Linked DNA regions of Canis lupus familiaris. The protein of the gene in region 1 interacts with the protein of each later gene in a pairwise test. Links are inferred from orthologs where the notes say so. Each region holds a gene or a part of one and is shown in the gene's direction. Other genes may lie near its edges.

What was found. The genes of interacting proteins can lie anywhere in the genome.
Region 2: the proteins of CDC5L (region 1) and WWC1 interact in a two-hybrid assay, tested with the Homo sapiens proteins (2 studies listed by BioGRID and IntAct). The link is inferred for Canis lupus familiaris from reciprocal best matches to the Homo sapiens genes CDC5L and WWC1.
Region 3: the proteins of CDC5L (region 1) and PDE4DIPP2 interact in a two-hybrid assay, tested with the Homo sapiens proteins (2 studies listed by BioGRID and IntAct). The link is inferred for Canis lupus familiaris from reciprocal best matches to the Homo sapiens genes CDC5L and PDE4DIP.

What each region holds. Positions count from the first base shown.
Region 1 is NC_049233.1:12,976,345-12,979,992, forward strand, and holds part of CDC5L (cell division cycle 5-like protein), read left to right. Parts: intron 1-1,070; coding exon 1,071-1,232; intron 1,233-1,809; coding exon 1,810-1,937; intron 1,938-3,589; coding exon 3,590-3,648.
Region 2 is NC_049225.1:44,321,120-44,324,867, reverse strand, and holds the start of WWC1 (protein KIBRA), read left to right. Parts: upstream 1-1,235; 5' UTR 1,236-1,297; coding exon 1,298-1,416; intron 1,417-3,748. UniProt on the Homo sapiens protein: Regulator of the Hippo signaling pathway, also known as the Salvador-Warts-Hippo (SWH) pathway.
Region 3 is NC_049238.1:57,721,237-57,724,984, forward strand, and holds the start of PDE4DIPP2 (myomegalin), read left to right. Parts: upstream 1-1,520; 5' UTR 1,521-1,535; coding exon 1,536-1,942; intron 1,943-3,748. UniProt on the Homo sapiens protein: Functions as an anchor sequestering components of the cAMP-dependent pathway to Golgi and/or centrosomes.

The sequences.
Region 1 (3,648 bases):
GCTTAAAATAAATTTACTTTTAGTACTGATGGACCCCAGTTTATAAATGGATCATGTTCCAGAAATTTATAAGTTGATTTAGAACTTACTTTCCCAAAGAAATTAACGATAAATAATGGTTAATTTTTTAGGCTAGCTCACAGTTACTTGAGTTTCCTTATTAATGCAGTTGAAATACTGTATGTTTGCTACCTCAGAATATAACTTAACCGAACACTGCATCTGTGGTGTCCCCTTTTAAGTCACAGACAGGATAGTGTAAACATTAAGCTTATGGCATGAATGGTCTGGTGCCAGCCTTGACCCATGTGGTGCTAGGATCATATTTTGGATTGTATGAGAGTGACTTAATTTCCTAGGCACCTGGGTGGGAGAAAGGATCAGAATGTAGAGATTGAATCCCAAAGAGGAAGATGGTTGTCAGCCTGAAGTTTTGATTTCTGCTTCTCTTGGTGGAGCTAAGCTCCTGCCCCAGTATTTAATAAGGCTTATATCTTATTTGCCAGCTGAATAGACTGGATAGAAAAGGTGGGTTGGGTGGCGTGATAGGAGAGGATGGCATAGTAGTTCTACTTAAATTTAAAAACTCCAAATAAAGCATGTGATGTTGGAAAGCAGTTAATGAGTGTAAGTCATATGTTTGAAGTAAGCCAAGGTGTTGTGGAAACTGTATCAAAGTATGAGACAGTGCTATGAAAACTAGAAACACAAAAAATGTGAGGTGTTATTGTCTTAATTCAGATAATTTCAAAACCTCTAATAAAGTATAAAAAACATTTGATAGTTGAGAAAGAAGGCATATGATCATGTTTCGTTTAGGTTACCTTTTTCAAGCATTACTAGTCTTGCATAATTAAAGTATAGTAGAATTTGGTGACTTAGGGAATATTGAATGGGATAAAGTTAACCAAATAATGAATAATCGGTTGTGAAAGAAGAACAGCTTTCATAATCAAAGGCTGAGAGTTAGCTTGTGTTTTTCAGACACTAGAGGTTAGTATATCTAATGTGTAAATAGGATATTCATGCTAGATGACCGAATAGTGTGTAAAATGGTATCTTTTTGATAGGTATGAGTGGCTGGATCCAAGCATTAAGAAAACAGAGTGGTCCAGAGAAGAAGAAGAAAAACTCTTGCATTTGGCCAAGTTGATGCCAACTCAGTGGAGGACTATTGCGCCAATCATTGGAAGAACAGCTGCCCAGTGCTTGGAACACTATGAGTTTCTTTTGTAAGTCAGTTTCCAAAAGTAGTATTAAAATGTGTGTATGTTTCCTGAAGGAGGCCAATAAACTTTTAGCACTGTTCTGTATTTAAACATACAGTTGCAGATCTGAGTAAAGGCAAAGGAACTAAAACTATTGAATTATATATACTCTTAAGTCTCATGTGGTTGATTGAAATTATATACTTCTTATATACTTTTTAAAAGAAGAAATATATAAATTATATATATTTATTCTGGATAGTCGAGGAAAAAATTGTAAAAAAAGCAAATAATCACCCATAGTCAAAAGAGAGGTAACTGGGATATCCTGAGTCTTTATTAAAAGTTTTTATTTGTAAATCTTTCCTGTATTTGCGATTAAGGAGCTACTTGGATTGTATTTTATAGTGAAAGGAAACACTCATTGAAATGAGAATTTTAATACCATCTCTTTCAGGTGAAGCAATAGTAGAATCACTTTATTTTGTGAATGCCCATCTGTTGGGTTTTTGAAAGAAGAGAGTGCCAGCGCTAGAAAACCTGGTATAGCTAAGACTGAATGATAGGATAGTGTGACTAACTTTTCTGGGCCTTTTTCTAGGGATAAAGCTGCACAGAGAGACAACGAAGAGGAAACAACAGATGATCCACGAAAACTTAAACCTGGAGAAATAGATCCAAATCCAGAAACAAAACCAGCGCGGCCTGATCCAATTGATATGGATGAGGGTGAGTGAGTGTATGCTCCTGAAGAATTTATTTTTTATTTTTATTTTTCAATTCATGTAATAAATTAAGCAGTGTAATGCTACTGGACAGATTTCCTTTTTTTTTTTCTTTCTTTCTTTCTTTCTTTCTTTTTTTTTTCTGGGTAGATTTCCTAAAGGCTAGTAGTAAGCCATTGAGGGAGTCTGTTTTCTCTTTCCTGTTCGATGGGGAGAGGTGGTGGCGGCAAGACAGGATTTGGGGTTCCAGTCCGATTAACTTTTTTGACTTCAGGCGGGTAATTTAATCTTTGTGGAAAGACAGCACTGCAGTATTATGAGGGAGACTCAGGATCCCTTTTTCAGATATTGAGTCAAGAATCAAAGGAACTGGATTTTAGTCTTATGTCTGCCTCTTACTACCTCTTTGACCTTAGGCAAGTCATATAATCTTTCTGAGATTTGATTCTCTTTCTTGCCAGATAGAGAATAATAAGTTATCTTACCCTACAGGGTTGTTGTGATGCATTCAGTGGATATTTGTTGAGATTTAAAAATTTTAAAGTTTAAAGGTAGTGATTTCCACCTGCATAATGATCATTTGGTGAACTCTTATTTTTTTATTATTTTTATTTATTTTTAAGATTGATTTTATTTGAGAGAGAGTGACTGAGAGAGATTAGGAGCAAGGCAGAGAGGGAGAAGCAGACTCCCTGCTGAATAGGGAGCCCGATGTGGGGCTCGATCCCAGGACCCTGAGATTATGACCCAGGCTGAGGGCAGATGCTTAACTGACTGAGCCACCCAGGTACCCCCATTTGGTGAACTTTTAAAAACATAGTTACCAGGGCCTCCCCAGGAGTTCAGAGTCAGTAAGCTGGAGTCAGGAGGGGGTAATTCTGGAATTTTGAGTATTTTTTTTTAAAGTTCTCTTGTGATTCCACTGGACAGCCTTATGTAAGAGTTGCTTTAAGGCATCAGTAATTAAATCTGTTTTACTCTAGGAGCCATGGAAATGTATTAGAAGAGAGAAATAGTTCTGAGGGAAAAAGTGTAACTAATGGAGATTATAAATTTCTTTGTAATTAAATAGTAGGTTTTTTTTTTTTTTTAAAAGAATTTATTTGAGAGAAAGAACCCATGCATGAGCAGTGGGGAGAGGCAGAGGGAGAGGAGAAGCAGACTCCCCACTGAGCAGAGAGCCGGATGCAGGGCACAATCCCAGGACCCTGGGATCATGACCTGAGCCAAAGGCAGACGCTTAACTGACTAAGCAATGCAGGTACCCCAAATAGTAGTTTTTATGATAGTTTTTCATGATTGGTGCTGTGCCAGTTGATGATAATGAAGAATATAATTATATGATAAATATGCTTTACCTATTATGTTTTACTTGGTTCTTCTCCATATTCTTGTGAAATAGTACTTATTTTATTTTTATAGATGATAAACATGGTCAGGGAGAGTAAATTAACCAGGGTCACATAGCTACCAAGTACTGGGCCTCGTTTTTAACTTTGGTTTTTCTGACTTCAAAACTCAGGCTATTTCCATTATATAACACCATATAATGGTTACATTTATGGTTTTTCTCTTCTTAAGCAGTACAGTTTGTCTCTCACATACCTTGTTTCTGTTGGAGAACTTAGTTTTTTTTTTTTCTCTATATTCTTGCAGATGAACTTGAGATGCTTTCTGAAGCTAGAGCCCGCCTGGCAAATACTCAGGGAAAGAAA
Region 2 (3,748 bases), on another chromosome or scaffold:
CTCAAGAAATACTGATTTTAAAATTTCTTCTAATAGTTTTCAAAATGGAATTTTGCTTTGCTTTCTTCTTCCCTCAAATCCATAACGTACCTACCTCCAAGTATCATAGGACGGAAGCACACATGACGCTGCTAGCCTCCCGCCTGGGACGGGCTAAGGACTCCATTCAGTTCACAAGACCCTGTTACTGTTACTTTACAAAAGGCTTCCCCGGGCACCCCTTGGATGCCGCCCCGGGGGGAGGGGATTCATAGCATATACTCCAAGTTTTAGGGACCCAGAGGACAGCCAGCTACATTAGCAACTACGAGGGTAGAGGAGACAGTGAAACCACACCGGGAGAAGAATGGAAGGAGAGGGAGACAGATGGTGCGTGTGTTGGGGGAAGGGATCAGAGATCCAGGAAAACTTCTGTTCCCTGAATCGCAAGAATGTTTCCATTTAACCACTTCTTGTCTGGCTCCTGATTCTACATAAAAGAGAAGCGGGGAGTTTTAGGGTTTGGGGCCACCTGCACCAAGAGCCTAGGCGCGAGGTGGAGAGCCGGGAGCGCGGGGAAGCAGCGGCGAGCGGGTCTTGCTCGGGCCACCCGGGCCCCCGCGCGCGTCCGGGGCCCAGGTAAGGGGCGGTGCCCCCTCCCGGCTACCGGGGCTGCGGGCGGTCCGGACAGTCCCACGAGGGGGCGCGTCTCGGGTCCTAGGATCCGCCCTCGCAGCGCCGGGCGCGGGGAGGGGACCCGGGAGCCCAGGCGCCCGGCGCTCCGCCTCCCGTTTCCGGGGCAGCGCGGTTACCTGCACGGCCCGAGCCGCACCTGGCGGAGGCCGGAGTCGCCGAGCGGGCGCAGAGCGGCGCGGCGCAGAGCGGCGGAGAGGGCTCGGGCGCCCGGCCAGGGGGCGGCGGCGGCGGCGGGGAGCAGGCGGCGGGGAGCAGGCGGGGAGCAGGCGGCGGGGAGCAGGCGGCGGGGAGCAGGCGGCGGCGCTCGGCTCGCTCTGCCCCGCCGGCCGGGCGCGTCCCCGGGCCCGCACCGCGCCGCGGCGGGCGCACATGGCAGCGTGAGAGGCCGGCGGCGGGAGCGCGGGAGCCCGGGAGCGGCGGGCCGGAGCCGCAGGGCCGCATGGACCGCGGCGCCGCCCGGGCCGGCCCCCACTAGGGCCCCCAGTCCGCGGGCGCCAGCCTCCCCCCCCATCATGGTGCCTCGGCGGCCGCCCGGGCTGGGCACGGCCGGCCGGAGCCGCTGAGCCGGGGCCCCCGCGGCGGCCGGGAGCTGCATGGGGGAGCGCGGGCCGCGCTCGGGAAGATGCCCCGGCCGGAGCTGCCCCTGCCGGAGGGCTGGGAGGAGGCGCGCGACTTCGACGGCAAGGTCTACTACATAGACCACACGAGCCGCACCACCAGCTGGATCGACCCGCGGGACAGGTAGGGCCCCGGGGAGCCCCACACCGCGCGCTCCGCCCGGGCCCCCTCTTGCCCCAGGGGCCACCCGCGGGGACCGGGCAGGGGCCGCCGGGGAACTCTGCGAGCCGCTTGCGCTTTCTTCAGTTGGCCGCCCCCCCGCCGCCCTCGCCCCCCCCCCCCGCCCCCGTCCCCATCCACGTCCCCATCCCCATCGCCCGCCGTCTGGAGCGCTGCTCCCGCCGGGGTGGGCTGCTGGAGGGGGGCGCGGCCAGGGGCCCGGGCGGCCCCCGCCGCCGTCCCCGATGGAGGACTTAGGCCCCAGCCGGCACCTGCCCAGAGTTTTGACCTTAAGCTCTAGCCCCGCCTCCCCCGCCCCCTTTAGGACGAGGTCGGGCGGGGGCTGGGGCAGCAGCCTAGCGGAGCGTTTCTGGGGCTTCCCGGAGAGGCTTTCCCCAGTGTGTGTGTGTGTGGGGCCGGGGGGAGATGGGGAAGCATCTGGTTTGGAGGGGGTAGTAGGGACCCAGGATTCAGTGGGAAACTGCTGGAAGGACACTAGGCGGAGGGGAAGGCAGCCTGGAGTGTGGTCTTTGACAGGTGCCTGGGAGGCTCGGGGAAGAGCACGGGAGCAGCCAGGGGGCCTGGAGGCCGGGAGTGGGAAGGAAAGGAAGAGGGCGGGGGAGGGCTGATCGGAAGACTGGTTCTCCAGGAATCTTAGAGCAACTTGGAAGCTGTTAGGATATAGATGGAGGTGAGAGGCCTCCCACAAAGCCCTGCCCATCACCTCGTTCTCCACCCTTTCTTCCTCTGGGGACCGAGACTCCTCAGTCCTGCACCAGCGCGTCCTGACCTTGGTGGGCACCAAGCGACTGTAGCACGGATTCTATTTTATTTTTTCTGTGGCAGGTGGAGTCTGAGGTGACTGCTCAGAGCTTCCAGACTTTCTCCCGGTTTTGATTGCTTGTCATTTCTTTGCACACACCCTCCCCATGTAGGGGTGGGGGGAAGAAGGGGAGGAAGAGGACCACCCTCTGAGATTGCTTTGTTGTCCTTGTTGGCTTGGTCTGTGGTCAGTGTCTTAGGAATGTGGAATGTTCACCTGGTCTGTGCGACCTTGAGTGTCAGGTGCCTGTAACGCAATAGAGGTGAATTTTTTGGATCTTTCGACCTGTAGGGTTGGGATGCAGGTCCCAGAAGTCCAAGATGGGGTGTGTAGCAAGGTGTGGGTTTTAAAAAAAGGCAGAAAGAAAATTTGAATTGAGATGCCCCGTAATTTCTGTGAGCGCTCTAAGTTCACTCATTTAACATTTCTTGGGTGCTTGCTTTATTCTCAGTACCACGCTGGATGCCTCTTTGATATAATTTAGAAGAGAAATTTAAAAAGGAAAAGTTCTCTGCCCATTGTGGGGCTTGAACTCAACCACTCTGAGATCAAGATTCGGGTGCTCTACCAACTGAGTCAGTCTGGTGGCATTGGAAGATAAATTTTTAATGCTAGAGAAAGCATCCCATGAGCAAGCTGCTTTAACCTCTGAGCCTCAGGTTCCCCGTTGGTCAGATTAATGGTTTGTTTGGAAGAGAAGTAATCGTAGAACTCTGAAAGTTGGAAGGGACATAGATGATCAGAGCCCAGCTCTTATTTTCAAACATAAGAGAAAATTTGAGGTCCAGAGGTGTGACTTACTTGAATATCTTCATCTTTCCACCACTCACCATATGCCAGATTCTTTACCATCTCTGAAGTTCTAACCTCCAGATTTGTCCTGACTCACTTCTCTTCCCTGCCCCACTCAGGGTCATCTGTCCCAGGGACGCTGTTACGTGTTGGAGAACTGGGCAGCCCCTTGTTCTCTTCCAGAAGAGACATAAGTTCAGTCTTCTGTTTCCTGCCTGGTTTTGGTCCTTGCAACTTACTGAGGCCAGTGTGCTGTCAGCAGTTGCATGTCAGAGGACTAGGACAGCCCCACACCCAGCGTTGCTAACTCACCCTCGGTTGTGAATCTAGGGACTTCTCTGGGGCTCTGAGAGGAATACAGCTCTAGAAAGCTTCTCAAACAACAGGTAATTTTCTACCCCTGGAAAAGGACAAGTGGAAAATTGACTTGGCTAGAGTATTATTTTTCAAATTTTAGTACCATATGAACCACCATAATGATTTTCTGCTATATTGACTTGTACCATTGCTTACTTAATATTTGACTTTAAATCAACTAAACGTGAAAATTTTTTTAAAGATTTTATTTATTTGAGAAAGAGAAAGGGAGAGAATGAGTGGGGAGAGGGGCAGAGGGAGAGAGAGAAGCAGGCTCCCCTTTGAGCAGGGAGCACACCATGCGGCTCAATCCCCGGACCCTGG
Region 3 (3,748 bases), on another chromosome or scaffold:
GAGCCCCAGCCTTCAGCTCAGAGTGTTATCCCGGAGTCCCAGGATTGAGTCCACATTGGGATCCCCTTGAGGAGCCTGCTTCTCCCTCTGCCTATGTCTCTGCCTCTCTCTCTGTGTCTCTCATGAAAAATAAATAAAAGAATCTCAAAAAATTAAGGAAATTCATTACTTTTATTTTGTATATTATATCGAACCTACTGCCTTTCTGTGGGCAAAGCCAAAGTCAGTTGGCTAGGAGAACAGCTTTGTCTAAGTAATAAGAAGCCGGGTTGCAAAGAATGATGTGGTAAAGAATGAATGGGAATCAGGAAGTATAGCTATCAAATGAATACAGTGTATTTAAGCAAGTTGGTTATGAAGGGAAGCCAGAGATGATGGTGGTTAGAGGTTGAGGTGGGAGGACTCTATTTTAGGCATGAGGAGACTTGGGGATGTTTATAGCAGAGGGGTGGACTTAATGGAGAAAGTGATGCCAAAGATATAAAGACAACAGAAGATAATTAAGAGTCTCTAGCAGAGATGGGAATGGTAGGGTAAATTGCCCAGGTAAGATAGGTTGAAGGGAAAACAGAGGTAAAGACAGATTAAGCTGGGAGGTTTGAAAGAACGAATGGTGAGATACCTGATAGTGCCATTTTCTGGAAACATTTGGAATCCTGATTGGAGGGAACACTCAAAGAAATAGTAAAGAAGTAGAATTAAAGACTGGATGAGGCGAATGAGTGAGAGAGATAAGTCTCTGACCGTGCCCAGGTGAATGATAGTATTGGGTTAAAAAAAGGGGGGGGGGGGAGGACTGAACAGCAGGTTTGGGAGGAAAATGTGTTAAGAATGAGTTTCTTTGTTTACACTGAATCCATCAACAGTCCATATTGACTTTTGCCTGTAAACTTTGAGATCCATGGTGCCTACTACCAAGATGAACCTCTGTTGCAAGCCGTGAGTATATAGTGCAGCAGAAGCATTTCGCTCTGCTAGATTCTGAATAGCTTCTGTTGTTAGAGGACACTGGGATATAAGAAAGGGCTTTTCAGAAAGAACATTAAGTGGAGGATTTATTTGACCTACGAACTTTTTTAAAACCATGAATACATCCCCTTGACTTGATATTGGAGATCAAGTGATCTATACTTTGAGTTCTTTATGAAAAATGGAAATCAGAGTCTCAAGGGAAAGAAAGAAAAACTGTGTTTTTTCTGGGGGAAAGGTTTTGTTTGTTTGTTTTTACAACAACAAAAGGGAAAATTGAGAGGGAAAAAAAGATTTTAAGAGGGAAAAAGAGGGAAAGCAGGAGAAATGGGGTTAGCCAGGGGCCTGGAAAAATAGTGACTCTGAGCAAAGAAAGATGACTGAGTTGGAGGGAGGAGGAAGGCAAAACCCAGGAAATCACAGGGAGAGGGCGTGAGAAAAAGAGAAACATTTAAGGTGGGAAATTGAGGACAGTGACCTTGGAGGAGATTGGAAGACAAAAAGGAGTGCTATCGGGGATGAAAAGGTTTGCAGATTGAGGTAGTGGGTGGAGAGAGAATGGGTTGATGAGAGGGCGAGGAGGCTGCGGCGGTGTTTGTGCGCGAGGCCCCGAAGCAGTCTGGGCGGAGCAGGTGGCAGAGGCAGCCGCGGAAGAGGCCTGGCCCTTGCAGGTTTCCGCCACCATCACGTCTGGAGGATGCTCCCGGGCGGCGCGGGAGGACCGTAGGAAGACCGAGGCCAGGAGGACCGCGGTCGGGCCCGGGAAATCCATGAAGAGGGCGGACGGTGGGTCCTGCTGTCGCCGCCGCTGCCCCGCGCACCTCGCGCCTTACCGGTCCGGGGACGCGGCGCGAGCCCCGCAGCCCTCTCTGCAGTCTCCGGGCCGGGAGCGACGGCATCCCGAGGCGGCCGGCAGCTGGGCGGCGGCGGCCGAGGAGGAAGAGGCAGCGGCGGCCGCCGCACCCTGGATGAGGTGAGAGCGCTGCGGGAGCCGGGGGGTGGCGGCGCGGGCGCGGGGCGCGGGGCGCGGGGCGCGGGGCGCGGGGCTGGGACCCAGGGCCCGGCTATCCCGCGCCCGGGAGGGATGGGCGCCGACTCACAGCAGCTTGGACGGGGTCGGAGGACACCCAGGAGGAGGTCTTGGGGGGCCGATGCGCTGGTGGCGGGGGAGAGGGGGGAAGAGCGGTGGGGAAGTTGCCTAGAAATAAAGATGTGCTGCTGGATTGTGCTGGACTAAGGCTTGGGAAACGCGTCTCTCTCCCAGGTCTTGACACCCGCTCTGTCGGTGCCCATGAAGTTGAAGGCCATACCTACTGGGTCGAGTCAAAGGAGAGATCAACACAGGATGCAGAAGCCATGCCAGGGTGGAAGCATTAGGGACACCGAGCAAAAGGAGATAGAGGATCAGGAAATGTGCACGGGTGTACCGTTGAAGGAGCACCCATTGCTTGCTCTTACACCCTCTTTTTTTTGTTTTTGTTTTTTTAATTTACGTGGTTTTTATTTACCTAAGATATAGCAGGGTGGGGTTTGGTGATGGTTCTTTCTTTCTGGGCTCTCTTCCCCTGCGGAGCCCGAGGGAGCTGGAGCTCTGCCTGTTGGCCGGATGAGGCCGTACAGAACAAGCTCCACTTAAATTCAGCCCCTTCCTTTGCACTGAGATGGAAGACTGGACAGATTAGGCCTACATTTTCTTCATGTAGCATTAGCAGCACAAAAATCTGCCATGCATATGAGTTTTGGGAGGAGAGACAGATTGTGCTATTGGCCATTTTTGAAATAAGCGTTTCTTTGTCTTGGCATTTTTAGCTTATTCTTTTATGGGAACCCAGTACTCATAAATCAGACTACAAGGCAAGAGTGTCTTCAGTCTCTAAGCTACCGTTAACTAACTAGGATGTGAAAAAAAGGAGCTTGATTTCCCTAGGCCTCGTTTCCTATGCTTAAAAAATCACAGTTTCGATCTTTTGAGGATTAACTACAGAACTAGATATTAATGGAAACTGCTTTCTGTGTTCAGGACTAGGCTTTATTTGTGAACTGAGAAACTAGTTTATTCACACTTAATTGTATTTATTCATCATACTGTCCACTGTGAGAAAAAGGAGTCAAAGACATTTAGTTAACAGTGCTTAAAGGAATCTATTTCTATTTCTAGAAAGGAATCATTTCTATTAAGAAACTCATAAAAAGATGACTGCTTTTAAGAAGGAATGAGGCAGCACCTAAAACTAATATAACACTATTCATTAACTGGAATTAAAATAAAAACTTAAAAAAGAGGGAGCACCTAGGAGGGTCAGGTCATGATCCTGTGGTCCTGGGATGGAGCCCCACATAGGGCTGAATCTTCTTCTCCCTCTCCCTCTCCCTCTTCCATTCCCCCATACTCATTCTCTCTCTCTCTCTCTCAAATAAATAAAATCCTTAAAGTATAACTTTAAAAAAGAAGGAAGGAGGCAAGAAGCACTCATTATTTGATTTTTTTAGAATGTGGAATTTTAGTCTAAACAATTACTTTTTCTTAAATGTATCTCTGTGGTGTTGAATATTTTTCACAGACTACTTTGGATTTTTTTAAAGCTTGAAATTTAAAAAAAATCATGTGAATATGTATTTATAATTTAAAGTCTTCTTAACTGTTTTATACATACTGGAGTGAATTATTTTCATAAAAAGGAGCATTGCTATTGCAAAATTTAAAATAGATCAAGACTCCTTTTATAAAAATGTGACTTTTCATACTGTCTTTGGTAACAAAAAGTTTATAGGGTTCTCT